4 linked regions of the Rhinolophus ferrumequinum genome follow. The protein of the gene in region 1 interacts with the protein of each later gene in a biochemical or structural test. Links are inferred from orthologs where the notes say so. Each region holds a gene or a part of one and is shown in the gene's direction. Other genes may lie near its edges.

Region 1 (7,536 bases):
CTGAGCTGAGACCTATAAGGTGTGACCAAACAATATGGTGAATCTTTAAATTAAAAAAATTACTACAGTAAAAGACACATTGCCATTAATACCCCTCAAAATACTCTCCCTCGTTTTGAACACACTTAATACCTTGTTCTTGCCACTTTCTGAAGCGGTTCTGGAAGTCCTCTTTCGTGAGTGTCTTTAGCTGCGCTGTCGTGGCTGCCTCCATGTCCTGAATCTGGGGAAGAGTCAGAAGTCCCATGGTGCCAGATCTGGTGAATAAGGTAGATGAGGACACACCATAATGTTTTTATTTGACAGAAATTGCCATATACCAGAAGCATGTGTTATGTGGAGCACTGTCATGATTTATGGCACACTTTAAAACACATCTTCTCTCAACCGTAGCTCACACCCGCCTGACTGCACTGAACAAGTTGAAACTTGTCACACACTGTTACTAAGGTTCGATGTGCTGCTTCCCATATCAAAGATCCCTGCCTTTGCATCACATGGCACTCGGCAGCAGCATTCATTGTATTTTGTGATCACAACAGAAAGGCTCTGTGTCACACATCGCTTGAGGTATGTCAATTTCCGCCAAATAAAAACATTACAGTATGTCCTCATCCACCTTATTCACCAGATTTGGCACCATGCAACCTCCGGTTCTTCCCCAAAGTCAAAATGACCATGAATTGTAAATGTTTTGAATTGATTCAGGATATTGAGGCTGCCATGACAGCACAACTAGACACAAAAGAGGACTTCCAGAACTGCTTTTGAAAGTGGCAAGAACGAAGGGATAAGTGTGTTTGAAGAGAGGGAGAGTATTTTGAGGGGGATTAATGGCAATGTGTCTCTTACTGTAATAGGTTTCTTTAAACATTCACTGATTTTCTAATCACATTTCGTAAGTGTTAAGATAGAGACAACTACAGGAAATCGCAAATCAAAGTTGGGAACACCCTACCTGTAGACCACTAGTACATAGGAATAGAAATCTAACATGCAAAAAACATGCCTCTCCTAGCCTTTTATGGGGCCCAGGGGAAAAATATAAATGGAGGTTCACATATTCTATGTCTAAATATTCATAAGTTCTAACTCAAGATAACCAACTTATAAAAGAAATACATTCTATCTTCCTACCTTGACAATACTAACTTCACTAGAATGCAGTGATGTGATCAAAACTTGCCTTCAGCTCCTGACTTATCCCCCATCTCCTCCTACTCTGGACTCAGTTCTATACTGCAAGGAACCTTACACACCCACATGTGGACACCCTGACCTACCCATCTGAGCCCACTCACACTCCCTCCCCACAAAGAGATACCCATTGGCTAGCCCTCAAGACCCAAATTCATTGGTCACTTTTGAGTTTTTCTCATGTTTAACTTCTTGGAAGAATTCAACACTGAAAAACCTTTGTATCTTGGTTTCCACTCATCATAATTTTGTTTTCCACAAATTTCTTTGGCAGTTCCTCTACCCATGCCTTAAAATTTTTATTTCTTAAATCTGTTTTAAGTCCTACTCTTTTTCACTTCTGTAGGTGATCTCATTCATTTCCATGAATTAAATTATTATCAGCAGGCCAATACTGTTACATAAGACCGGGTCTTATATTAATCTTTGCTCCAAAACACGTAGTAGAGCTGATTGTCCGGCTAGGTCTTATTTTCGGGGAAACACGGGAAAACGGCAGAAAACTATTTCAGAACTTCCTGGAAATAATATTTGATCAGGTTGGCTAGTCTGGTTCTGAGACAGGGAGTAAAGACAGCACTTTTTAGGTATAGAGCAGACCTCTGAATAATAAACATATGTTGGTTGCATATCCAGCAACCATTCCCTGCTTTGTGCCTCTTAAATCTTCAGATTTTTCTCCTAATTAGCAGCTGCTCCTCTTCCAAGCCCCTGCTTTAGTGAGTTCTGGATCTAAGCTAAACAAGATATTTGCCTCAAACCTCCTGTCCTCCATTCCTCACTCAAGGGTACAGTTGCCAAAGTCTTTTAAAAAAGAAAGTTCCCTGCTCTTCTCAGATAACTAGCTACTAAAAGAGGTGCTTCCTGTCATTGTACTGAAAAGTGTGATGTCATATGAAAAATTAAACTGCTAGAGCATGCATTCTCAGTGGGGGTAAAATCGCCTCCAAGGGGTGAACATTGGGGAGAAAAAAATCTTACTCTTTTTATGTATAAAGCAGAAATATGTACACAGTACATAAACAGATATACAGTATTATCTGTGGTATTAAAGCTTTGGGGGGCATTAGAAATAGCCTTAAAAGACTCCTTAGGGGGCAATGATATTTTAAAAGGTTGAGAACTACTGTTTTAGAGCAATGACAAATACCACAAAAGGCAGAAAGCAATCATGGAAACTCATTATTGATACTATTATTAACTTTAGAAATCAAATGACACCTGAAGCCTGTTCTAGCTCTTGACTTTCCACTTAACTAAGCCAATTAATCCCCTTTATTGTTGAAGCCATTTCTCACTTGGACAACTGAGTAGATGATGGGATCCTTCATAAAGGATCCCAAATGCACACAGAAGAACAAATCTGTGGTGGGTGATAACTTCTAAATTTGCTTTTGCAAGTTTGAAAGGTGTTTAGGTTTCTATTTATCATCTAAATAGAGATGTCCAATAGGTCCAGAATTCAAGAAAAATTTGAGCACTGGGAGAGATTGGGAGTCATCATAAAAGTGGTATAGGAAGTCAAGGCCTGGAGTAAAATTATCCAAAGAGTGTGGAATAAGAAATTATTCCTTCATTCTTTTATCCATTCACCAAACTATCGAGTGTTACTGGAACTACAAATAAAACATGACAATGTTTTCCACAGGAGTTCCTGTCTTCTTGATTGCCAAATCCAATACCCTATTTGCAGTCCCAAATGTGTTTAACTTACGTCTATACAGCATTTATTTGGCTGCCTTTTTCTTAATTGGAAAGCTCTCCTCCAGTGATATTCAGGTCACCGTTCCCGTTTGCCCCTTTCTGTTCCTTTTCAGTCTCTTACCGAGACTTAAAATTTGACATTCACAGGGTTTCATCCTTGGTCTGAAACCTTCATCTCTAACTCCAATTATCCTAGTTAACTTCAACTCAAATTGACTAAATAAACAGCTAGTTCAAAACTAAAATTTGTGTTGATAGTACAACACAGGCAATACTTTCCGCCTTGGAGATACACTGACCTAAGTTCTACAAGCTTGTGAGGATCATAATTGTTTTTGACAAGGAGAAAATTCTGCAATGTTCTAAATTACAGCGTAGGGAGAGTGAGACAGAACTGTTAGTCTGTTGATGGCTGCTCGCCAGCTAACAAAAGACTGCTCACAATCTTTGTACTGCCTATTGAAACTTTATACTAATTTCCAGGTGGTTATTACTACAGGTGATTTTAACCAGGCACCATCCAACTCCAGGAGCTCCACTTGTTTACATGTGGGCTTTCTCCACTGGTGCCCACAGCCAATCTACAGAAACGGACATTTTTTATGGGGACCCTGCGCCTATCTCACCTCCCACCCTTTTCCTACAGCTAATGTAAATTCTTTAAGACTACCTTTCTTGTCCCTTCCCCCTACTTGATGTATAAAAACGCTTGCAAAACTCTGGGAGGATGGACATGCTCTCTTTTCTATCTAGCCATGCTTCTGGTGGTTTAGACTCCATGCTCCAAGACCCGTCTTCTTTCTGGCTTAGCACTTTGGCTCAATAAAACTTTATCTTAAAAAAAAAAAAGAAAAAGAAAAAAAACTTCAGTTATGGAAGTTATCACTCCGTATGTATTATTAATATTAATGCAACCCATAACTTCATATGAACATAACAAATTATGTCAAACTATTTATTTCTACCTTATCTAATATTAACTTCTGTTCTTGAGAACTCAGCCTACATACTGTTATCCAGATTATATGCGCTGGCTCGCTCTGTATTATTTTCGTGAGACTCTCTCCGAGTCAGAGACTGACTCAAAGTAACAGTAGCAACTGTTTCCTTCCATAAACCACACTGAGGGAAACACCTTTTCCAAGGCTTCTTAAAGAACTAGTTCAGCTTAGCTTAGGGGTGAAATTAAAATGGTTCATCACATAAACTCAGTCCAACACTACCCCGGCCGTCTGCAGGTCTCTGCGAGAAAAGGGACCAGGGCCATAACATACTTCACCAAGTAGAGGTGAAACCATAGCTTTTATCTTTCCCGCTGGTTCCTAAAGGACCAACCGCACAGACATTCCATCGTGCTCCGCGCTACTTCCGTTCGCGCATTTGATTTACGTCAGAGCGTCAGCTCTCGCGGTATCATCCGATTGCTGAGGCCCTTTAACAAAGATCTCGCGAAATTTGGTCTACAGATCTAAGCTAGCCTCTTACCCTCCCCCGCCCCACCCCCAAAACTGTCCTTCCTTTCTCAGTCTCAGTTAAAAAAATTCTCACTTCCCCTCCCTCGAGCTCGCTACCCTCCTCCTGTTTCCGATTTCAGGCCGGAACCGGAAGCTTAGTGGGCGGGGCCCGGCGGCGGAAAACGCAGCGGAGCCGGAGCGGGGACTCCGCTGTGGCCGCTGCCCCTGTCCCTTCCACGGATCGCCGTGGCTCCAGGCTGAAAGTCGGTCAGGAGGCGGGTGGGCGCGGGTCTCCCCCGGAGTGTCCGGGCGGCAGCTTCCCCGGGCCCCCCGGGCTCCGCGAGGGATCATGTCTACAGCTTCCGCCGCTTCCTCCTCCTCATCGTCTTCGGCCGGTGACATGATCGAAGCCCCCTCCCAAGTCCTCAACTTTGAAGAGATCGACTACAAGGAGATCGAAGTGGAAGAGGTGAGCGAGGCCCGGCACGGAGGCGCCGGCCCCGGCCGCTCCCACCTCTACCTGTTGTCGACTCTTAAGGCGCCTCCGCGGCCCCTCTGATTCACGGAGCCCCTCGGGGTTCACCGGGGAGTCCCAATATCCCCACAGAGACCGGGTGTAGAGCGGACTCTCCGCGTTCAACTGCTCGGGGGTAGCTCTATTTTTCCCTCACTTCGGCACTCTTGAGTTTGGATTTGACACTCCGGTGCCTGGATTTGGGTCATCTCAAACAGGAGGATGAACTGGTGAGACAGTGTGGTCCACCAGTTCTCTCATCTGTAAGTAGTAAATTCATCCAAGCCCGTGGCCGTTTTGGAGTTTCGATTCACTAAGACATGGTGTTCTTAAGGGCCAAGGATTGTACTTTATATTCGACATTAGCTCTGCCTGGCACGTAGTGGGTGTTCAGTAAATGCTTGGTAAATTAATACATCATTATATCTAACAGTTTCCCCGAGGATCGAATGGTTTGTTTCGCCGATTCCCTAGGAGCAGTAGGGAATGTTGTGTTCTGCCTTCAGCTGGACTAAGTCAGATGAATTTCAACAATAGTAATATACACTGGTGTGCGATGAAAAGATGTTTCAAGTATCGTATTCTGAGGCGATAACTAATGATTTCGGTGACAACTAGAATATAACACCAGACCACAAAATCGCTGTTAGAAAACCCGAATCTATACTTTATTTTGCAGTAGTTTAAGGGTAATAACATGTGCCTGTAATACATTGCTGCTTTTCAAATTCAGAGGAGTAAATTGGTTCTAAGGACCATAACATACAGAAAAGCAAAAATTGTATATATTTTAAAGACACACTTTGCAAAGTGTTAAACCTTTGGTTGAAAATAGTATCTATCAGTTACCATTTACTTATCAGTTTTAGAATTTATTAAGTACTTTGTATTACGTATTCCACGAAGAACCCTGTATGTCCTATATTACAGACTTTTGGTTATCTCTATTTTAAAAATCCAAAATTATTTTTAGGTAGTGACAAGCTAAAAGATAATTATCACTTAACAAATAAGTTTCTTTTCTATGAATGTTTTGGAAGAAGAATAGGTTACTTAATCATATTTTTTTATTCCATAAAGAAACCTTAGAGATCACCGAGAACAACCTTATTTTACAAGGTAGTTTAAATGGGAAGAACGAGGCCTTTTGGAGTTAGAGGAAGGTCCAGTATATTAGCTATGCCACTTAATAGTTGTGTGATTTGGAGCAAGTTTCCTAACTAATCCCTTGGAGCTTTAGTTTCCTTAACTGTAAAATAGGGGTAATTTCTATTTCATTTTACCTGTATAACAGATGCTATTAGGCAACATATGCATTACACCCAACACAGTGCCTGACACATATTACTAGGAAACAGTTCCAGAGTACAACAGTGACCTGCTTTAAGGTCACATAGCTAAAAGAAGGACCTGTGGTTTGGAAAAAGGGGGGGATTTTTGTGTGTGGATATGTTTGTTTTGTTTTTTTCTATTGAGGCTAAGATAAATTCCTTTTTCAGAAGTGGATAGTTTATCCAACTTTCATGGCTAACATTCTTTCTTTTTTAAGAATAAAAATTCAGTGAGTCTTTCTTTTTTAAGAATAAAAATTCAGTGAGTCAGTATAAAAGAATTGCAGTTTTTAAATAAGCATTTACGTCTACTCTGTGGTGAACTGTCATGCTTGTAGACTACAAATTGTTATATAATAATAACTTGTACTTCATGGTCTACCAAATGCTTTCACTGAGTTACATCATTTGATCCCTACAACATTAGGTTCTGCACACTACTTTCTAAAGCATTTTACATTCTCGCTTCTTGGAGGAATGAAAGTTATTAAAAGGAGACAGTAACTTTTTGCTGCTCTTCCCCCAAAGCCATTTAACTTCTAACTAGGTTTTTATATTTCCAAAGACCTTTCAGTTTAAATAATGTTTCAACCTTTCTTTGGTATACTTAGGACATTTCTGAGATGTAGTTTTTTGTTTTTAAATGAAAATTTCTAATATTAGGCAATCATTTAGGGTTTTTTTTTTTAAATACCCAGTTTATTTGCCCTTTAAAGATTATATTTGGATGTTTCTGATGTTGCAGCCATTACATAATTTTCATCAGATTTCTTCATTTGCATACCTTAAAATTGTGGTATATGATCCAGAGTGCACCATGGGTACTCAGTAACTATTTCTCAACTTAGATTCTGCTTCTAGGTTAAAATCATTAATAAGAGAACAGAAAAAGACCAGAAACAGAAAGTATTTTACATTGCTTTTAATATTTTGTATAAGTATAGCCTATAAATAAAGAAAATCATATTCCAAATTTGTGAAATAACATTGTAATTGAATCCGTATACTGATTCATTTTGAAACTATGTAAGAAAAATACTCCAACCACAGACCAAATATACAGTCATTTGTTTAGTTGATGCATATGTTTAAGGCATCAGCTGATTTAAATGCTTACATCCCTAATAGTGTGCCTCTATAATCAGTGTGGCATTTCCTAAATTCAGTTCTGATATCAAATTATGAAAGGTCTCAGCCTTGGAAATCTACATAGATACTTTTTGTTTTAAGTCATTTAGTTTTTACCATTCTGGATCTGAGTGTAGAGAATGTTAGAGTAATTTCTCTGAGGTATGTACATTTTGGGAACTAGCTTGCAAGAAGAGGTAAAAGTGGT
Region 2 (6,825 bases), on another chromosome or scaffold:
GTACAAGTGCTGGCAATTCTGATTAATTAAAAGCCTTTCAGTTTGCTTGTCTCATCTGGGGCTGTCATGCACTGCAAGTAGGTCATTGTACATGGTGTGAGGTAGGGGTGCAAAGCTTTATCCCCCCCATGTTTACCTCCTGGTCTTCTTTATTGGAATGGCCGTCCGCTGCTGTGCAGTGTGCCATCACTGTTACAGACAGAACATCCACACACGTCAGGGTCTGTTTAGCTCAAGGGGGTGGGGGGCCCTGAAGCGTGCTGCTGGCCTGCTAGCCGGTGAGCCCCTTGAGTCCAAGGGCCTTGTCTCATTCTTCTGTGGCTGTGCTGCCCTGCAGGTGGCCTGGTGTAGTGAGGGGACATGGGCTCTGTGTGGAGCGAGGCTGGAACGCTGTCTCCCCTCCTTTCTTTGGGGCTCGCCCTGCAGCTTTCCAATTTTCTCCCTCACTCTCTGCCTGGGCCTGGAACCTTCCAGATGCCAGGGGCAGACACAGAGCCCTTTTTGGCAGCCCTCAGAACTTCTGACCCAGCCACCAGCCACCATCGGGGAGAGCGTGTGGAAGCCGCTGCTTCCTGTTCTGGGGCAAGGGACGCTCTTTGGAAAGCCCCGGACACACACGGGTGTCTGGCCTGAGAAGGAAGAACCCAGCTGGAGCAGAGTGACGGGAAGAGGCCATGTTTACGCACCTGCCCACTGCTGGCTTTTCTCTTTAGCACAGAGCTCTAGTAGGACAGGCAAGGCCTCACTGTCATTGTGGGGGGACATAGGAGTGGGCAGCCCCCCACTGTAGTGCTGGAACCACTGTAGATGGTGAAGAGGGGCCACCAAGGCGTCCTGGCGAGACAGGAAAGGAAATGCTGGCATCTCGGAGTGTCGGTGTCTCTTCTGGAATTCAAATGGCCTGGACCCTGCGGTGGCATCTCACTGCATTTGGAGCAAAGTCAGAGCCCCACCTGAGGCTCCCTGGTCTGCTGCTGGCTCCCCTCCTACCTTGTTTGGCACCCCTTCCGGCATCACTTACGCACAGCAGCCATCCAGGCTGCTTTCTGTCCTTAGACGTGCCTCACAGGCTTTGCCCTCGCAGTTCCTTCAGCCAGCAATGCCCTTCCCATGGTTCCTTCCACGGCTGACTTTTCTCATCCCCAGGGTGCAGTTTGGTTGTCTGACTCTTGAATGGCCTTCCCCGACCCGCTCTGTCAAGTCCTATCCTTGTTGTGTTTGTTTACTTGTTTATTGCAGTTCTCAAAACCGTGACGGCAGAGACTTTGTCTGTGTCAGCACTCTGCCCCCAGCACCTACTGCAGCCGTATGGTGGGTGCTCATTCATTGCTGTGTGAATGAACGAATGAATGAGTGAGTGAGTGGGGCATGCAGAGAGTGGTGATGGGGGCTGTGGCTCCAGCTCAGCCCTGACGCACTGTGTGTCCTAGACAGGCCACCACCCCTCTCTGAATTTCAATTTCCCTAACTGTAACATGAGATAAAACTAAGGATCCCCCTCACGCCATTGGGCAAGTAACCAAACCCCATGAACTACCACTGACTACTGCTCCGGGCCTCGGACGGGCTTAGGACTCCAAAACCAACACGCTATTTTTGGTCAGTTTGACAAGAATTAATCACTCACAGGTGTGCCTCCACAACGGTGCAAAGAAAACCCAAACCGGTGAGGTGTTTGTAGGAGACACAAAATCCAGCCAAGTCCATCTTACTTTTCTACCATTGAGAGTCCACACACAAGCCTTTTAAAAGTCTCAAAGGTTCTTCTACCATATGGTCCAGCAATTCCACTTCTAGGTATTTATCTAAAGAAAACGAAAACACTAACTTGAAAAGATATCATGTTCTTTTGGGTGAGAGACTGACACCAAAGACAATAAATAAGTAAATATCTAGTATGTTGTGTGCAGATAAGTGTTACGGAGAAAAATAATTAAGCAGGGAGAGGGGTGCAGGGGAGGGGGTTGCAATTAGACAGGGAATGGTCAGGGAAGGCCTCCTTGAGAAAGTCACATTTCAGCAAAGACCTGAAAGGAGGGAAGGAGGGAGCCATGGAGGTGTCTAGAGGAAGAGCATTCCAGGCAGAGGGAACAGCAGATGCAAAGGCCCAGAGGTGGTGGCAGGTCTGCCCTACTCCAGGAGCAGCCAGGAGGCCAGTGGGCTCGAGCAGACAGTGCACAACGGAGCGAGTGAGGACGGGCCCCGAGAGGGTGCTGCGTGGAAATAGCAATCGAAAGGATTTTCCTTGGCTTTGGCTCTGAGGTGGGAGTCATCGCAGGGGTTTCAGCAGAGGAGTGACCCATAATTTGACCCTTTTTTACGCAGACTCACTATGGCTGCTGCTGGAATCCTGGAGGACGGCTAGGAGCTCTTGCCAGAACCCAGGTGAGAGATGATGGAGAACGGGACCCAGGTAGTCATGGTGCATCTAGTAAGAAGTGGCTGCGTTCCACGTGTATTTTGAAGATCAAGCTGGAAAACTTACTCCCAGGTTGGATGTGAGGTATGAGAGAGAAGATGAGTGGGCTACGTTTTCCAGTGGCCCTGGCAGTTTTCTTAAGTAACCCGTGATTGTGCATTGAGAAGGTTTCCAGCTTTTCACTGTTATAAAGAAGAGGTGGTGAGCATGCCTGTGGACAGATCTGTACCCCACGTGGAATGATTTCCCTGGGCTAGTTGCAGTCCTTCTAACACAGCATTTCCCAACCCCAGCCCACTGCGTACTACTTGTGTAGGTAATTAGCTGGAGGCAGTGTGGGATGGTGGTTAGAGTATTGCCAGATGCCGGGGGGCAGATCGTGGCACTGGGGTCACTACTCGGACCGATTAACTTTTCTGTGCCTCGGTTTCTTTATCTATACATTGGGGACGATGACAGTCAATATCCCGGAGATTGGATTCACTGAGTTAATGTATGTAAAGCCTGGTCCATAGTAAGCACTATGTGAATGTCCGTTCTTTAAATTGACTTCACATTTAAAAACTACCAAGTGCAAGTGTTTTAAAAGGCACATTGATATTAATACCTTCAATGGAAGGTGTCACTTGCTCAGAAATCATACAATAAATTTAACCGAATGGAAACAAAACAGTGCTGTTAAATTCTGGTTGGATGTTACTCAGAGCCCTGTAGACTAGGCAGGCAGTGTTAGAGAGGCGTGGGAGCCCTGTTTGTATGAAACTGACGCGGCTCTCCTCAACTTAAACAGAACGATCAAAAGAAAAAGAAAAAAAAGAATTACTTTAAATGCCCGGTCTGCTCTCAGCTGACATGTAACCCATAACATTGCGGAAAAGCAGGGCTCTGGGACATCATAATAATCAGGCTTTAGATGACTTTGGGCTTACTGACCCATCAAAGGGTGTGTGGGTTATTCAGGCACCGAGAGCTTTGCTAGCTTTTCATTTCACAGGATGCCTTATGTGTATGGGTGTGTGTGTGTGTATGTGTGTGTGTGAGAGAGAGAGAGAGAGAGAGAGAGAGAGAGAGAGAGAGGGAGAGAGAGAGAGGGAGAGAGAGAGAGAGAGAGAGAGAAGGAGGGAGAGTTGAGAGTTGGGAGGGAGACTTGTCCTGAGAGACTCTCAACGTTCCCTCCAGTTGAAAGGTGGTCCAGAAAGGGGGATACACTTGGCCTGGGTCACACAGCCAGGGCCTTGCAGTCCTACAGGCAGCCCCGCCACTTCCCTGCCAGCTCTCGCTCCCATCTGAGGAGAGCTCCTAGCCGCCCGGGTGCTGCGGGAGGGCTCGCAGGACAGGAGGGACTTGGCTGGCTGGGCAGGTGGGCGGGGCCGAGAGCGGGGGCGGGATCAGGCGGGGACGGATCCCAGCGTAGGAGCCTCCCAGGCCAGGACTTAGCCGTGAGTTTTGCCTCCGACGAGGGTGCGGAGAAATCCGGGCGCCTGCGGCTCCGAGGTGAGTGCTCCAGGGCCCAGCTCGTGAGACAGCAGGCGCCGAGGAGGGTCCCACCCCCGGGACTCCTGGCTTCGGAGCTGTCCTGGCCGGTGGGCAGAGGGAGAGGCTGCCTCGGTTTTCCCTTGGCGGGGTTTCAGGGATCTAGACGGGAGGTAGACAGAAAGAGGGCATCTCGAAGTTAGGGAGCCCCCTGGAGGGCGGTGACTACAGAAGATGAGAAGGCTTGGGGGCGTTTCTGGGCCCCAGGAGCCTTTGAGGTCTGGAGAGAGGCAGTGATTTTCAGGTGGTGGGGAGTGTGGAGGGAGAGTCAGCAGGATGAGAATCCCCGAGGCACAGGGCTGACCTGGGAATGAGGAGGCCAGGCTTCAGGTCTCAGAGGGGCCTGCTCTCCGTGAGTCCCTTCCTCTCTCCGGGCCTCAGTTTCCCAATCTTACCATGCCTGTGAATAGGTGGGTGCAAGTGAGTAAGTGTCTGGATGACCTCTCACCCTTCCTGCAGCCTGTGACTCTTGGATGGCTCAGCCCCATCCCTACCAGACAGGCCCATACCCTCTGTGCCATTGGCCCTCTCCTTTGCTCCTCATGTTGGGGGCCAGCCAACTGGTCCTACTTGCTTCCCAGCACTAAACCGCCCCCCCCCCCCTGCCCCAGTCCCCTCAGAGAGGGCCTCCCACAGCCGGATCCCTGACTCTGTGTTGGCTCTGGTTTCTCACCCACTTCCTGAGCCCTTGGGCTTCTCCCTGCCATGGCCTTGGTCTCCTCATGGGTTATTCCCTGGCCACAGGGTCCTTATTCCACAGAGGGGAATAACCTGCCATGTCACCCGTCCCCTGATCCCTTGGTGAAGACCAGAGTGACATTTCCATCACCTCTGCTCTCCTGCCTCTAAGTTTGTCGGTCACTCAAGTCCCCTTTGCCAATCTGAGGCTGGAAAGGACCCCATCTCACCCACTACCTCCCACCCAGTGCAGGACCCCTCTGCTGTGTATGCTCAGTGATGCTGAACTTGTTACTTACGAGGTGCTGTTCTGTGGCCTGCAGCTCTCATTTCATCTAGCTAACATCTGTGGCTTGCAGATTCCATCCTTTCGTTCCACTTCTGCCTCCTGGAACCATGCAAAGTAAATTCATTCTTTTATTCATTCAAACACTCTTTATCAATGCACTGGGTGAGACACTGGGGATAGAGCAATAAAAAAAGTCCGGCAAAACTCCCTGCCTTCATGGAGTTCCTATTCTAGAGAGGAGTCAGACAGCAGTCAAATAAGTGAATACATGATACGTCAGGTGGTGAGAAATAAAGCAGGTGAGGAGGATGAGCATAGGCAGGCATGTCCTCTCTGAGACGGCGACAACTAAGCAAGGCCTTGAAGGAGTTTGGGGGTGGAGTTTCGGGAATATCTGGGGGGAAGGACAGTGTACCCACATAGGGACAAGCAGAAGGTCCTCAGGCAGAAGCATGACAGGCAGGAGCAGGTATGTCTTGTTCTAGGAACAAGGAGGGGGACAGTGTGGCTGGAGCAGGGTGGGTGAAGAACCAGTGTGGGACGAGTGGGAAAGAAGTACAGAGAGGTAAGGGCTGGGGGGCGGGGTCCGTTGCCTGGGCCGAGGAGGCCGCTGGGAGAGCTTGGTTTTCACTCTGAGTGCCGAGAGAACCACCGAGAGAGCCACCGGAGGGCTTTGAGCAGAGCTGTCACCTGCTCTGACTTAGGGGTTAGCAGGTTCACCTGGTTGTGGGCGGGACAATAGGCTATAGGGGGTGAGAGCAGAAGGGGGACCCGTGAGGGGACCACAGCTGTCATTCTGGGGAGAGGCCGTGAGAGCTTATACCCAGGGCGTAGAGGTGGTGAAATGTCAGATTTTCAGATTTGGGATATATTTTGAAGACCGTAGGGTGGAGAGGATTAGGGATGCAAGAGAAAGGGGGCGTCAAGGGTGACGCGGGTGGTGGGGTGGAGTCTGGCCTGAGCACCTGGAAGTTTGGAGCTGCCATCGACTGAGATGGGAGCTGTTTACGGGAAGATTTGGTTTGGTGCTTGTTAAGCAGGAGATGCCCGTTAGCACCCATGCGAAGACGGCCAGGACGCAGTTGGGAAAAGTTTAGTAGAGAGGTTGGAGCTGGAAATAAAATTTTGGATGATATCACCACATACCTGGCATTTAAAGCTATAAGAGCTGGTGAGTCCACTTAGGGAGAGAGTGATATGGAGAAAAGAAGTCCAACCAGGGAGCTCCGGGGCTCCCAGCATTAGGAACCAACCAAGGAGTCAGAAAGAGCAGCCAGGGAGATGGGAGGAAAAGTTGGAGAGTTGGGGTGTCCTGGAGGCAATGAGGAAGGTGCTTCAAGGAGGAGGGGGGCAATGAGGACAGATGCCTTTGACAGAGCAAGCAAGCTGAGGGCTGACAGTCAAGCCATGCAGAGGTCACTGGTAACTGTGACAAAAGCAATTGGGGATTAGGGAAGACAGGATTGGCAGGGCGGGGAGGAGAGGCGTTGGGGACAGCAGTACAGACAACAGACAAGGAGTCCTGCGGTGAAGGGGCAGAGAAATGGGATTGGAGCCAGAGGGAAGTGGGTGTGGAGGGAGGGCTTTACTTTTGGGGTGAAGTTACAGTCTGTTTGCGTGCTGGTGGGAAACTCTTTTAGAGAGAAGCTTGGTGAAGGGGGCCAGAATAGAGGATGGCTGCAGGGCTGGGGGGGGGTGGGGGTTGGATCCAGTGCCCCAGGGGAAGCTTGGGCCCAGCCGAGAGCCAGTGCAGTTCAGAAGCTGGGGATCCCAGGGCCTCCCTCCCTCTTCTGTCTGCAGGGGCCCAGCAGGCTGAGATTTCAACTGAAGCCTGAGCATCCGTCAGCTGCCCCAGATTCAGTGCAGTGTGTTCGGGAAGGGCCCTGCTTACTCAAAGCTCATCCTG
Region 3 (7,765 bases), on another chromosome or scaffold:
TGCCATAGTGTACTGTTTAGGGGCTGAGGTATGGAAGAGGGTTGGGGGGCCTGGAAGCCCCAAGTTATAGTCCCAGTTCTCCTCTAAGACACTTGGAGACCTTGGGACTGCCTGTCCCCCGGACTCTTCAACCAATTTGCGAACACACATTTGCTGAGCAGCTTTCCTGGAGCCTGTGAGGAGACCCAGAGCTGAACGGCCAGAGTTCTTGCCCTCTGGAAGGTCACTGCAACCAATAACTAGAGTTTTCCATGATCGAAAATGACCGAGGGAGTATCCTTAGGGTGGGAATCAAGAGAAATTTCTGAGGAGGGGCTTTCATTTGCTAAGAGCCTGGACAATTGAATAAAAGTCCACCAGGTAGTCAAATGTGGGAACAACAGGTACAAAGATGGAGGCCGGAAACAGTGTGGTTGTGTGGAAAACTTCCAGCAATTACAGTGAGGCTGAGCTGTGAAGGGCCTTGGAGGGTCTGCTTCTCTCACAGGGTTGCAGGGAAAGGCCCTGGAGTCTTCGACCGAGGGGTTTTTACCTACAACAGCAGAACACTTCTGACGTCAGATGTGTGGGTTTCCCACAGTAAGCAATTCTCCAGCTCTCTGCAGACACCAACTGGGTGTCCTGTAATCTAAGTCAGTCTAACACTAACTACCCAGAGTTAGTACAGACCCCACAGGTTAAGGGTGGATTCCCACAGACTGCCCCCTCCTCAGACATGAGTCCCAAGTAGTGGGTCCTCAGGTTATCTACACTAATGTCCAATTTGGCTACAAATCGGAGGTTCCCATGACCCCCTCCTCAAATTCCATAAAATGCTATGACAGCTCAAGAACTCAGGGAAACACGTGACTTGCTGTTGCCGAGTTATTAACAAAGGATACAAGTGAAGAGGTGATAGGGTAAGATCTGGAAAGGTCCACAGCGTGCAGGAGTTTCTGGTCCCCCTGGAGTTGGGTTGTGCCACACTCCCAGCACGCAGATGTGGGTTCACCAACGCAGAAGTTCTCCAAACTCCTTCCTTTAGGATTTTTATGGAGGTTCCATTACATAGGACGGTTGCTTAAATCACTGGCCGCTAGTGCTTACTCAATTCTTAGCTCCTCTCCCCTCCTGAGATGGGAGTGGCAGGGCTCAAAGCTCCAAACCTCTAATCACGTGGGTGGTTGCTCTGGCAACCAGCTCCAGCCTAAAGTCATCCAGGGGCTTCCAGCCACCTGTCATCTCATTACATAAACCTGCAAGATAGTTGAAAGTGCTTGTTATCAGTAACAAATGATGCTCCTACCATCTCTATCACTCAGGGAAATTTCAAAACCCTTTTAGAAGCTCTGTGGGGACCAGCCTGGTGGCTCAGGTGGTTGGAGCGCTGTCTCCTAATGCTGAGGTTGCCGGTTTGATTCCCACATGGGCCAGTGAGCTGCGCCCTCTATAGCTAAGATTGGTTGAACAACGCGTCTTCCTGGAGCTGGGCTGCTGTGAGCAGCCGGAGGTTGTCAGGAGCTGCTGAGTGCTGCTGTGTGCTGCCGCCAGCCAGCGTGAGTGGCCGGCAGCCGGCGAGAGCTGCTGTGAGCGGCCGACCGATGACCAGCAAACCGACTGCCTCAGCCGGGGAGCACAAGGCTCATAATACCAGCATGAGCCAGGGAGCTGTGTCCTACACAACTAGACTAAGAAACAACGGCTTGAACTGGAATTGGGGGGGGGTGGGGGGAGGCAGAAGAAAGGGGAAAGAAAAAAAAAGAAGCTCTGTGCCAGGACTGTGGGACCCAGTCCAAAATATGTATTTCTTATTACATCACATCACAGAGTCAGAAGACCTAGGTTCAAATCCCGACATTTATTTATTGGGTAACTTGCTGAACTGGAGTTTCCTACATTATAAACTAAAGATGACTACAATCTTTATCTCACAAGGCAGGTGTGAGAATGAATAAGTGTATGATGAGAAAGCATCCAGCAAGTGCTTTGGCATACAGTAGGTGCTCAATGTGTGTTTATTATCTTTAAAAACATTAAATTGTAATCAGGGCCTACCACAAGCCAGGTCTTTCCATGGCACCTCATCTAATCCTCGCAGTCATTCGGCCAGGTAGCCTTACTCCCATTATAAGAAGGGTCCTGAGGCTCAGACAGGGGAGGTGACTTATTCAGGGTCACACAGGTGACAGGATATGGGGCAGCGATTAGAATGGAGTGGGTTGGGCTCCAAATCCTGATTCTTTCCAGACTCTTCTTCAACAGGAAAAACCACCTGGCCCCTCCCAAACCCCTTCCTGGCAGAGAAGACTGCTCATAGCCTCCTGGTGTCCGTTATCCAATCCTTCTTTAGTACAGGAACTGTACTTGGGCACATTGTAGCTCAGTCCAAAGCTTACATTTCCTCACCTCTCTTTTAGCTCCATGTGGCATGAGTTAAGTGACAGCCAAAGAGATGTAGGGGAAGCATCATGCGGAACCTCTGAGGTCCCTTAAAAGGGAAGGGAGATTGCCTGCGAGTAAATTTTGTTATTAATAATGTAAAAAGAAAGAAAGAAAGAAAGAAAGAAAGAAAGAAAGAAGAAGAAAGAAAGAAAGAAAGAAAGAAAGAAGAAAGAAAGAAAGAAAGAAGAAGAAAGAACAAAGAAAGAAAGAAAGAAACAAAGAAAGAAAGAAAGAAACAAATAAAGAAAGAAAGAAAGAAAGAACAAAGAAAGAAAGAAAGAACAAAGAAACAAAGAAAGAAAGAAACAAAGAAAGAAAGAAACAAAGAAAGAAAGAAACAAAGAAAGAAGAAAGAAAGAAAGAAAAGAAAGAAAGAAAGAAGAAAGAAAGAAAGAAACAAAGAAAGAAACAAGAAAGAAAGAAAGAAAGAAGAAAGAAAGAAAGAAAGAGGTATCATCTTCCTATCTTCCTCTTGCCTTCCAGCTGGCTGAACTCAGACAAATGGCTGGAGCTCAAGCAGTCATCTTGAGTCATGTGGAGCTGTGTTGAGAGGAGAGCAAGATGGTGAGTCACCATCCTAGACTGACACCCACTTCCCCCTTCTAAATCATCAGCTCTTCTCTATTAAACCTTTCCTTTGGCATTTAAACAGGCTCAAGTTTCCCCAGCCTAACAGGAAAAACCCTCTCTCAACCCCACGTTCCCTTCTCTTCCTCTTCCCAGTCCACCAATTGGGAAGTCCGCCTATTCTCAAGGTCTCCATTTCCCAGCTATTCTTCAATTCACTGCAAATGGAGTTTGGTCCTACCATTCTACCTGAACTGCCTGCGCAATTAAAGATGGCTACATCTAATAGACTTTCTCCAGAGAGTTACCTTCTAACTAGACCTCTCAAAAGCATCTCACATTGTTGCCCCAGCCCTCCTTAGACACTCCTCACCTTGGGTTGTGCTGCCTCTGCTCCCCTTGCCTTTCCAGCTGCTCATTCTGTCATCTTTGCCAGTTTAGCCTCTGCTCTGAGCTCCAGCCTTCTCCATCTAAAGACTGACTTGATTTCTTTTCTTGAATGTTTCAAAAGCCCTCAAACTCAACACGGCCAGACTGAACTCCTGGTCATTACCTTCTCCCTCTCCCAAACCTAGCCGTTCTTGCCAGAAATCTGGAAGAATCGTTGACACATCACCACCCACAACCAATCCTTGCTCCAGCATCGCAGATTTCATCTCCTAAATAAAGTCCACTCACTGCCATCAGCCAAATCAAACCACTATCATCTCTCACCTAGAACTAGTACAACAGTCCCCTAATCGGTCTTCCTGTCTCCACTCCAATCCCCTTAAAAATCTGTTTTGTACACAGTAGTCACAGGGATCTTTCTACCTGAGATCGTGTCAGTGACTTGCTGGGATGTGCACAGCTTCCCTTTGTCCTCCAGGTGAATAGCCCAACTCCTGCCTGGGGCTCACAAGGTCAGAGTCTGCCCTACGCGCCCTTCATCTCACTCCCCCTCCATCTTTTTTCCAACCACATCAGCCTTCTGTAACACGCGTGCTTCTTGAACCCACATGCTCCCTTCCCTCAGGCTTCCTGCACTCGCTGGCCCTTCCCTTCCCTGTTACCAGTTAACACTGCACTACCATGCTTCATCCATAAACTTCTCTTCCTAGCATTTACCGTGTTTCCCCGAAAATAAGACCGGGTCTCAGATTAATTTTTGCTCCAAAAGACGCATTAGGGCGTATTTTCAGGGGATGTCTTATTTTTTCACGTACCACAATCTACATTTATTCAAGTACAGTCATGTCATTTTCTTCTGGAACATCATCATAACGTACCAAAATGCGGCCGTCTGGCTGATCCTAACTGGGGCTTATTTTCAGGGTAGGTCTTATTTTCCAGAAAACCCAGTATCACCACGTGAAAGACGTATGTATATAAACGTCCTCCCCAATTAAAACGTTAGCTTTTTGAAGGCCTGTTTTGCTTGCTGCTTCACCCCTAAAGGCCCAGGCACGGTCACCCAATGAATATGTGTTGCGTGAACGAATAACCCACCTTCCGCCTTCCCCATCGTGTTCCTGCAGAACCTAACCCCGGGTTTGGGAGCCTCACCTGAAAGGCATCCTGGGGAAAGTGTGCAAATAAAAATGGGCGAGGGGCAAACCTACGGAAGCCTTCCCTTTATCTCCCACTAGAGAAAAAGGTGGAAGAGCGCGACCGCGTCCACGCCCCGGTGCGGCCCCATCCCACTCGGCCATGGGGTGGCGCTGGGCGCCTGCTCCCCGGTAGCGCCGGCCTCCGGGCCGGCATCAGGCCGCTCTAGCCGCCCTTCTCGTCTGCTCTGCCGGGAGGCGGGCGCGCCCGCCGGGTCCCTTCAAGATGGCGGCGCAGAGGAGGAGCCTGCTACAGAGTGTGAGGAAGAGACCCGCTCTCCGGGCTGGGGTTTGGGAACCGGGAGGGAGCGGGGAGGCCTGTCGGGTGCAGGCGCCGCTGCCACTTTGCCGTGGGCCGCCTACCTGTCCCTGGCGGGATGTGACCGCCGCCCTCCCCTCTCCAGGGCCGGCCCCCCTCGTTCCCTAGGTCTGGGCGCGCGCGGCCCCGCGAGCCCTGCGCAGGAGCGCGGTGTGCCCGGCCGTCGGGGGCTCGGATTCCGGTCCTGGAGTCCCCTGTAGCGTCCAGGGCGCGTCGAGGGTGGAAGCATTTTGGAGCCAGAAGGGAGTATGGCCTCGCGGCAGCGGAGGGAGCAAGGGTGGTGAGCCCACCCGGCACTGAGCAGGCAGTCGTGGGATGATAATCGTAGCGGCCTCAGCCACTTTTATCCCAGGCTTTGTGCCAGTGGCTTTACATTGTAAGTTTCATTTTCCTAACAGCGTTATGAGATAGGTACTGTGATTCCTGTTTTACAGATGAGGAAACTGAGGCACAGAGCGGTGTCATTTGCCCAAGGCCACAGAGCTGGTAAGTGGCAGAGGCAGAATGAAAATCAGGCAGTCATTCCAGAAACCCTCTTAACCTGTAACCTATACCAAAGGAATGACCGCAGTCAGGCAGCCTGGCTTCTGGTCCTGGCTGTATCTCACTATGCCTCCATCCGCCTCTGCCTCCATTTCCTTATCTGTAAGGTGAGCGCAGGCAGTGGGAGGATTGTCATGAGACCCACCCCGACTCCCAGTCTGGACTCTCATGGGCTGGTAGCTGATGTCTTCCAGCCCCTGGGTCCTCCTGACACATGTACATAGATGCACACACGTTGGCACCGTGGGCCTATTCTGACCTGCCAGGATTGGGTGCCGGTCCCATGGGTCCTCCCCAGACACAGCAGGCACACAACAGACACAGTCTGTTGTAATTGCCTGTGGACATGTCTGCCTCCTGTACTGGAAGGTGAAGTCCTTTAAGACAGGGACTTGTGATCTACCTGTACAATGAATAGTGCCATCAGCACCTACCACCACTAGGTGCCAGGCATTCAGTAAATATTTGTAAAATAATGAGGAAAGCATTTGTAGCCAGGTCTAGTGCTCAACAGTGGCCGTCCTGCCCTTGAGGGTCTTGAAGCAACAGAATGTGTGTGTGTGGGATGACCTTCACTGCTGCGTATGAATGACAGGCTTTGTGTAGACTCTGAAATTGCTCTTCCAGGACAGCAACTCCCAGTGGGAGGGAGGGAGTAGCTCTCTTCCTACACCTTTGGCTGCCCCCCTTTATTTAACTACTTGATAGGTCGGCCTTGTCATTGGGTTGGTTAGGTAGACCTGGCCTCTTGCTTTGTAAGCTCCCAGACGTCAGGGCCCCTGTGTAAATGTCCCCATTGTAAACATTCCAGAAACACTGGCTGCAATGTGTGGCAAATGATAAAAGTGATAACTGCTGTCGGCTAGCTTGGCTTGGAGACTGGCTGCCAGCTTCCCTCCCCTGTAGGTGCGATGGAGCCCAAGGAACTTGGGTTAGACAGAAGGTGAGCTTTACTAGCTCCAGAATGTGTTCCTGGGTGGTGGGGGAATCTTTGAAATACAGGTTAGTTAGCTTTAAGCATGTAGCATCTTGACGAAAGCAAAGGGATGACGGATGTCTACACAAGGCCCCTCCCACCCTAATGATGCTCAGGACATTTCTGCTCAGAGGGTGTCAGTGTGTGGGGCTTGCTGTCCTGCCCTGTGCTGTTCTGAGTCTGGGGAGAGCAGCGCAGACACTCATTCAGCAGATGGCTTTGAGGACTGCTAGTCTGTGGTTACTGGACCTGGGGATGTGAAAGTGAATAAGGCATGTACACACTCTTGCTCCATTTGCAGTTGAGCTTGGGAGGAGGAGCCACATACCGCTAACACAATGTGTGAGGCCTCTGGTGGCAGTGCGTAGAGGGGCTGTGGATGGCTCGCTTTGACTGGGCCAGTGGAGGCTTGCAGGAAGCGCTGGGACTCGCTGACGTGGTGCTGGAAGGGAGTGCTGGGGCCAGCGGGCAGCGCGCTTCGTGGGATGACATCCTGAGAAGTTGCAACTTTCGTCCCCAGGCAGTGTGGTACTTTAAAAGATCTTTTGAAGAAAAGAAGAGCTTTTGAAGATAGTTTGATGTGTTCAAAAGAACCTAGGCCCTTTGCAGCCAGATAAAACAGAGTATGAATCTTGCTTGTATGGCCTTGGGTAAGTCACGCAACATTCCTGAACCTTGGTTTCCCCAACCGAGAAGACTTCCAGAAGTGTTGTTAGTAGTAAATGAACTGACATGCCACGCTCCTAGCCTGGCACGGTCACACTCCAGTTGTGAAGTTCCACCTTCAGTTCTGCTACCTATGGTTCATTCTCTCAAATGTCAAATGGCACTGAGCACTCACTGTGTGGCAGGTGCCGGGAAGGTTCAGGGGACACGACCCTCACTCTAGGAAGGGAGACAGGAGTAAACAATGCAGAAATACAGATGCTATGTGATGATTATCACATCACGTCAGGTGGTGCGGTGGGGAATCGTCGGCACACACAGTGGTCGAGGAGCCATTTCAGGCCGCATGGCAGGGGAAGACCCCAACGTTTGATGCGGTGCAGTGGGGTTCGGGAGGGAGTGTTCCTGCCCGAGGGAACAGGGATGCTAAGGCCTGCCTTAGGAAGCATGGAGGGGACCCGTGTGGCTGGAGTGGATTGCTGGGAAGAAGTGCGTGTCACCCAGGTCCGAGGGCGCCATGTGGATTCCGTTCTGAGTGCGATGTGAGCCTCTCGGCTGGTTTTGAGTAGAGGCCTGATGTGATCTGATTTGTGATCGGAGAAAGCCCTTCGTGGAAAAGCGCTTGCGTGGCAAGAGTAGAAGCCTGGAACCTTCTGAGTGGCACTCACGCTTGTCCGGATGTGAGCT
Region 4 (7,126 bases), on another chromosome or scaffold:
ACTCCATGTTCCTATAGATGTAATTACATGTGAAAATATCTTCCCCAACCACACTGCCTGTGAACCCCTGGAGGGTAGAGATTGTAAGCACATAACATATTATTGGTCAAACGAAAAAATGACTAGCATCTGGACAATTTTTTCATTCATTTATCCAAGAAACGTTTACTGAGAATTTGCTCTGTGCAAAGGGCAAACACACACAATTAACATCTAAATATTTGTTTATGGTTAAGACACTGATGGTAATAGAATTAGGAGAAAAAGAAGACACTGGCCACACCTGGGCCTAGGGTGCCACGCCCCCCTCCCTGCCCAGTCAGACAGTGGCCATAGACAGTGGCATAACCAGAATGGAATGTATCCAACTGCACGAGTCTCCAAGGTAGGAAAGGTGATCCCACTTCCTCTCTATGAGATTCTTTCAGGTTTTTGCCTCTGTCACCTTCCCCAATAACCTAACCCTTATATAACAGAGGTTATAATGTTACCGGTCAGACCTTTAGTTCTTCTAAAATATACTAGAGATTTTCAACTTTTCCACAGTCCCCTGGGCAGGTTAAGGAAGCACAGGCAAGAAGGAAACAAAAATACTTCCCTCCTCTAATCAAAAGGTGCCCACCTCTAATCAAAAGGTGCCCAATATTTGTGTCACCTCTAACCAAAAGGTGCCCACTCACTGCCACATGTGCTCTGTAATTGCTGGCTAAGTGTGGACCAGGGGTGACTTTGGAGGGCCAATGCCAGTTAGGTATAGAGCAAGCCACAGTACCAGCCCACACGAGAACTTTATGATTTGGCACCAAATAAAGCTTCAAGTTCACATGCCCAGACATTACAAACCCTCAAGTAGATCACCACAGTCCAACATCAAGCAGTTCATGACCAATCAGCCAAGCCTCTCCCCTCTAGCTCTCTTCCTGCTTTCCTCCTGGTTCTTGTGGCCCAAGTTCCCATGGCAACAGGTGGGTTGTTTAGTTCTGGGGTCTGGTTGTGGGGCCAAATGAGTGCCCTACTAGGCCTACACCTCTACACCTCTCCCAAGCAAATGGCCTAAAGGGGAATATAGCCCTGGGGCCAGGGTGTCTCCTGGCCTGAATCACACTTCCTTTTTTTTTTTTTAAAGATTTTATTGGGGAAGGGGAACAGGACTTTATCAGTGTGTACTTTCAGGACTTTTTTTACAAGTCAAGTTGTTGTCCTTTCAATCTTAGTTGTGGAGGGCGCAGCTCAGCTCCAGGTCCAGTTGCTGTTGCTAGTTGCAGGGGGCACAGCCCACCATCCATTGCGGGAGTCGAACCGGCAACCTTGTGGTTGAGAGGACGCGCTCCAACCAACTGAGCCAAACTGACAGCCTTCGGAGTTATAGGAGCATGGAGCTCCAACCGCCTGAGCCACCGGGCCAGCCCCAACTCACTTCCTTCTTAATCCACAGGTCACTCCCACAATAGGTGGAACAAATGGCAGATGCTCATTGTTCTCAGTTTTTAACGTTTTAATCAAACTAACAAAAGTTTTAAACATTGGAAATAATGATCTTCTGACTATGATGTTTCACTTTGTTCCTCACATTTTAACTACTGGCACTTTGCAGTCTTAAATTTTAGGAAATACCCATAATTAGTGTACTATTTTTATTGCTATTTAATAGCACTGAAGAAATCCAGGTTTAAAAAGATTTTCCAAAGTTTTCATTTTTATAATTAGGTTTTGTCCTTCTTTCTAGTCGTGCTGAGGACTCGTCCTACTTCCTTAAGACTGTGACCCATGCCATAAATGGTACAGGGGAAACTGCTAAAAAAAGAAGAGGGAAGCAGACACTCTCTAAAGTAGGTTCTGAAGTAATGTCACTAACCCAACTTTCTTTTTCCATAAATAACAGGACTAAAGGTAGTGTTTCTTGTTTGTTAACATTTTAACAATTTCAAATAACTTTCAAAAAAGGGCACTCGGGTTGTCAGGCCTGGCTCCCCAGCTGTTGAATTATCACCAGTGGTAACTTTTTTTTTTTTTTTTTAATTTATTTTTAATTTATTGGGGTGACAATTGTTAGTAGAATTACATAGATTTCAGTTGTGCAATTCTGTATCACATCATCCATAAATCACACTGTGTGTTCACCACCCAGAGTCACCAGTGGTAACTCTTATCTGCAGGGGATTAATTGCTATGTGATTATTGAAGGCAATTTTAATTCCAAATTTACTTTCCCCTGCTATCTACCCAATTACCAAGAGGCCTGTGTTACCAGATGGTGTGTGATGGATGTCCCAGGGAGTATAAATTAATTTCAATTAGCCGTAACCCAACATAGAAATAGTAAATCTGTTCAGATGACCAACCATTTTCACCAGGCCAGCTCTCCCTCTTCCATCACATGGCTCATCTGAGTCTCCTCTCCTCTCTCATAACCCCCTCTTCAGGGCAAGGTCCCTAGTAGGTCTTTGGGCTGCACCACTGTGTGTGTGTAAAGCACCCTAAGCCATTTGGTCTCTGCTCCAAAACCTCTTACAGTAACTGTGGACCATGCAAGGCAGGACATGTAGATCTAGAAAGCTTTAGATCTCAGTCTCTTTCAGTAGTCTGTGCCCAGCTCAACTGGCCTAATCCTCACTATTTGATCCTACCCTGCTTTTTCCAGAAATTCTCTCTGACCTCTCTAGTCTCCCCTCCTGTAACACACACCATCATTTCTATGCTTTCTTCAAGACCTCACTCAAATGCTACTCAAGTCAAAGGCTCCCTTTCAGAGCTCAGGGTCTACAGTCTGGTTCATACCTGTTAATGGCATTTACCACACTCTGCTTGGTGCAGGGGTATTTGTAGATTTCTTCTCTATTAGATTGTACACAGGCAGGTATTGAGTCTTATTTTTTTCTCTGAGGATAGAAACTGAGAGACAAGTGAATGGAGAGTCATGTAGACCAACTGTCTGGCTTTCTCCTTGTTCTGGGCTTCCGTCCCCTCCAGGGAGAGGGCTGTTTTTGTGCACAGGGTTGAGTGGAAAAGATACAGTATTCAGGATATTGTACTTGTTGCAGCAACAAATTAATAAGCCTGGGCACCTAAGGTGGAGAACACACCCAGACCTCTCCCCTTCCCACCTTGCTATCACCCCTCTGTGGCTGTTTGTCCCTCTGGCAAGGCAAGTAGCTCAGCGTGGAGCGCTTGTGGAATTCTGCCGTGGGCCAGGTGATTCTGGCATCCAGACTATTTGAAACGATTGTTAATGATCAGACCACACCTTCCAGTATATGCGATGGTGCACCGGGCACATCTGATATCCTCCGGGACAGTAATCCCCATCTTATTTCTGGGCAGCTAAGGACGCGCTCAAGCCTTCTGCTGAAAGTGGAATGGCAGGAGTGAACACAAGAAAATCCAGTTCCAAGGCTTCCAGTCTCTAGCAGTGCATTTAAGACCAGGATAACCCCGCAAGCCTCCAGGGAGCTTCCGGATAGAATCTGAAACTGGCCCTAACACAGAAGACTTGGAGAGCGGAAGAGGGAGGCCACTCCAGATTGGTAGGTGGCAGGTTTAATAAGCAGGGTAACTTACATAGGGCTTGTCTTGGGCGCGCAAAAGTAGAGCTACTTGACCACCAGAATCTTAAAGTTTGTACAGAGGCCTTAACTACTCAGTCACGAAGACCTTCCAGAAGTTCTCGGCACCACATTACTATCTCAAAACTGCGTCCTTGGGCAGTTTCTAGCACCTGGAGCCAAGCAGAACGCTCACTCCAAGGACAGGGGAAGGGGGAGAGGAGCCTCCGATTGCCCGAGTCGAGCTCGCGGGTCAACCGGTCATCACGTCCTTTCAATGACTTCCTCCATCAGAGGAGAGGGGTCGTGGGTCCTGCATTCTGACTCCTTGAGACCGCGGGGCTGTACAGAGAAAGGAGTGCCCGACACCCCTCGGAGCGGGAGGAAGTGGCCGCTCCTTCCCCGGCGCCCGCCTGCTCTTCCGGCCCCCTCCCTGCTTTGCTTCACGGCGCACCCGTGGGAGAGGGCGGTGGGTGGGGGCGGGAGAGAACGCACAGGCGGGCCGCGCTCAAGGCCGCTGCGCCAGGTGGGGCTTTGGGCGCGCGCACGTACGTGCGTGCGTGAGTGGGCGTGGCCCACACACGCTGTGCGCGAGGCGGATGTCCGGACCGGCTGAGCCTGGGCTGCGGACGAGATGGCGGAAGGTGGAGGCTGCGGTGAACGACCGGATGCTGAGACCCAGAAATCGGAGCTAGGGGCTTTGATGAGGACCACGCTCCAACGGGGGGCGCAGTGGTGAGCGCCCGGCCCACCTTTCCGCCGCGCAGGGCCAGGGGCCGGGGCTCTGGCGCTCAGGCCGGCCCCTTTTTCTCGGCTTGGGTAGGGGCCGGGCGGGGGCGATGTAGTGACTCTGAGAAGAGTGGCCTGACCTCGGCCCCTTAGGAAAGGGACCCTGAGGTCACTTCTGGGAAAGCGTGGGCGGAGTTGAGAGTCGTCTCAGCCCTTTCGGAACCCCAGTGGGCGGACCCGGCGGGGGAAAGAGCTGCAGGATAGGGACTGGAGTGCTCACCGGGACCTTCAGGATGGGGAGAGCCCTTTGCCTTCGGGCATTCGATGTGTGACCTTGGGCAAAGGCGTCCACACCTCATAGACCCCAGTTCCTTACTCTTAAAACCGTGGTAGCAGTATTTGACACTACATACTCCCCTTCAGTGGGTTGAGGCGTATCAGAAGTAGACACTTTGTAACTTGTAAACAGCAGAACAGATGTCAAGGTCAGAAGCTGAACAAATGTTTGAGAGCCCCAGGTTATTTTGGTAGCAAATGTCAAAAATAATTGTGGCAGCAGCATTTCATAGCCTAGGTAAAAAAAAAGATGAAAAGACTGGGCTTTAGAAGATCAAGTCTGAGACAAGAAGTTTCATAATAAATTGTTTAGTGAAAGGGACAGTACTTCCACTGGTAAAGAGATTCCTGGGTGGTATTATTGTGTGGGTGTAGAAAACTGGACCTTGGCTTTATTACAAAGAATGATTGAGCTTCCCTCTTTAAGAAACCATGGTGGTGTTGATAATGCCACTTACAGTGCCAGGAATGAGCAGGGAAGAGAGACATTGGGATTAGGAGGAACTCATATAAGACTTTACACTGTTCTTGAGCGAGCCAAGCTGTGACAGGCAGGGCACGCAGGGGCAGAGGACACTTGAGAGACTAAAATCACACTCTTAGCGTGTTTAGAGGGTATTGTTCAAGGGGTTTGGAGGGAAAAGAGCATTTAGAGATTTGGATTTATGGATCCTTGTGACCCCTGAGAAGCTGCCTATCTCTGAGGTTTGTTGGTTATAAAATTTGAAAGACTCACCAATATAATTGTGCTTTGTTTCCCCAATGGAGGTTTTCCCCTCCTTCTGTCTTAATTGTAAAACAGCATAGTAATACTTAAAAAATACAACCAGATCAACTTGCTTTTTGACAATATAATTGTACTTACACATTACATGTGTATGTATGTACATGTGTGTATACATGTATGTCTGTATGTACACATATATACATATGTACACACATTTTTTTGACATTTTGTTTGGTCCTCAAAGGAATGCTGAAGTGTGTGATGTTATTATCCCATTTTCAGAAAGAAAATTAGTTTAATGTTATTCATGTCAAGCAAAGCAGTGTAACCAAATTGTCTACCTGGAGAAGGACCTCTGTAAAGATCATTATGACATTAGTGACTTGGTCCTTAGCAAACAAGATTTTCACAGTAGAAAGACTTGCTTTAAATAAATATTTTGAAGCCAGTCATTTCCTTCCTTTCATTTATTCATTTTTCAATAATCGTTTCACTTACTGGATACTTTCAGAAGTATCCATTGGCTCTTTGTGCCATATGGGGCTGGCCCTGCTTCTGTCTTGAGAATGTTTTTTAGTGGGGATTGCTTGTTCCCTAAGTGGAAAGACCATAAAGAAATTAGGGGAGCAGCTGCAGAAACTTACTATCTCAGCTTTTCTGGTACAGTAAATTTTTGTCTATCTCTAGGTATCTTATTGACAGCCGGTGGTTCAAACAGTGGAAGAAGTATGTGGGCTTCGACAGCTGGGATATGTACAATGTGGGTGAACACAACCTGTTTCCTGGCCCAATAGATAACTCCGGACTCTTTTCAGGTGCAGTATTCTGTTCCTTTTCTATCCGAAATGTCAACCATGGTAGTGGCCTCAGGTCATAATTATGTGTAACATGGACATTGTGAACTTGACTTTCCTCCTGTGAGGGGACGGAAACAAGTGTCCTTGACTTATGTCTGTAGCAGAAGTCTTTGTAGAGTCTTGGAGAAGTGAACCTGCCTTTTTCCTAAACTAACTTCTAACAAGAGCATGCTTGTAACATTTTAAATTTCTTTCTCTCTCTCTCTCCTTTTGCAAATTCTGCCAGAGATTTTAGATTAGTATATGGGATGGAAAGAAATAGGATATTTTGAAATTGATCTGGAATCTGAAATTTGGGAACCAGAATTTTCTTGGTTACCTTTGCAGTGGGACAAATTGTAGATCTGTCGATATTCTTCAGACATTTCTGTGATGGCTGTGTTTGTCATAGAAATAGTACGAGGAAAGATAGAGGGTCAGTAGAGTTATCACAATCAGCTCCCAGTGGAAGAAGTGATTGAAAAAGTGATGCATGACACACTTGAGCTTAGCTTGCACCTGTAGATGCACAGAGATGACAGTCAGCCTTTCCTAGTCTGTTCTGCCTGGCTTTAGACTCCCTTGCAAGCAGGACAGAGGTGATCTGTCTTCTGTGACCAAAATCAGGGCAGCAGGACGGCAGATAATGCATGAAGCTTGATCCAAGTACCTAACACTAACCTGCGTGCTTTTAAAAATGAGTAGTACTTCAGCTCAGACTTCGTTTTTGGGGAGTCTAAATGACGCAATCAACAGTCATATGCTATGTTTCCTGAAGTAGGTCAGATGGTGGCATTATGCCATGAAGTTGCCTCAAGGGATCATTGCAAAACGTTTGCTCTTTGTCCTCTCTTTGGAAAAGAGAAATCTTAAGGCTTTTAATAGTAATAGTGATGAGAATCCTAGAGCTTGAGGGGCCCTCGAAAGTCATTTTGTATGACCTTCAGCTAAGGGTA

What was found.
Region 2: the proteins of MAP3K7 (region 1) and NOD2 form a complex in vitro, tested with the Homo sapiens proteins (2 studies listed by BioGRID). The link is inferred for Rhinolophus ferrumequinum from reciprocal best matches to the Homo sapiens genes MAP3K7 and NOD2.
Region 3: of the proteins of MAP3K7 (region 1) and TAB1, one has a biochemical effect on the other in vitro, tested with the Homo sapiens proteins (4 studies listed by BioGRID and IntAct). The link is inferred for Rhinolophus ferrumequinum from reciprocal best matches to the Homo sapiens genes MAP3K7 and TAB1.
Region 4: of the proteins of MAP3K7 (region 1) and USP4, one has a biochemical effect on the other in vitro, tested with the Homo sapiens proteins (2 studies listed by BioGRID). The link is inferred for Rhinolophus ferrumequinum from reciprocal best matches to the Homo sapiens genes MAP3K7 and USP4.

The regions. Positions count from the first base shown.
Region 1 is NC_046286.1:47,046,555-47,054,090, reverse strand, and holds the start of MAP3K7 (mitogen-activated protein kinase kinase kinase 7), read left to right. Parts: upstream 1-4,535; 5' UTR 4,536-4,704; coding exon 4,705-4,824; intron 4,825-4,922; exon of another isoform or gene 4,923-5,132; intron 5,133-7,536. UniProt on the Homo sapiens protein: Serine/threonine kinase which acts as an essential component of the MAP kinase signal transduction pathway. Plays an important role in the cascades of cellular responses evoked by changes in the environment.
Region 2 is NC_046298.1:5,222,889-5,229,713, forward strand, and holds the start of NOD2 (nucleotide-binding oligomerization domain-containing protein 2), read left to right. Parts: upstream 1-3,824; 5' UTR 3,825-3,913; intron 3,914-6,719; 5' UTR 6,720-6,825. UniProt on the Homo sapiens protein: Pattern recognition receptor (PRR) that detects bacterial peptidoglycan fragments and other danger signals and plays an important role in gastrointestinal immunity.
Region 3 is NC_046293.1:8,078,013-8,085,777, reverse strand, and holds the start of TAB1 (TGF-beta-activated kinase 1 and MAP3K7-binding protein 1), read left to right. Parts: upstream 1-4,744; 5' UTR 4,745-4,800; coding exon 4,801-4,833; intron 4,834-7,765. UniProt on the Homo sapiens protein: Key adapter protein that plays an essential role in JNK and NF-kappa-B activation and proinflammatory cytokines production in response to stimulation with TLRs and cytokines.
Region 4 is NC_046300.1:7,021,830-7,028,955, forward strand, and holds the start of USP4 (ubiquitin carboxyl-terminal hydrolase 4), read left to right. Parts: upstream 1-4,118; 5' UTR 4,119-4,176; coding exon 4,177-4,277; intron 4,278-6,021; coding exon 6,022-6,149; intron 6,150-7,126.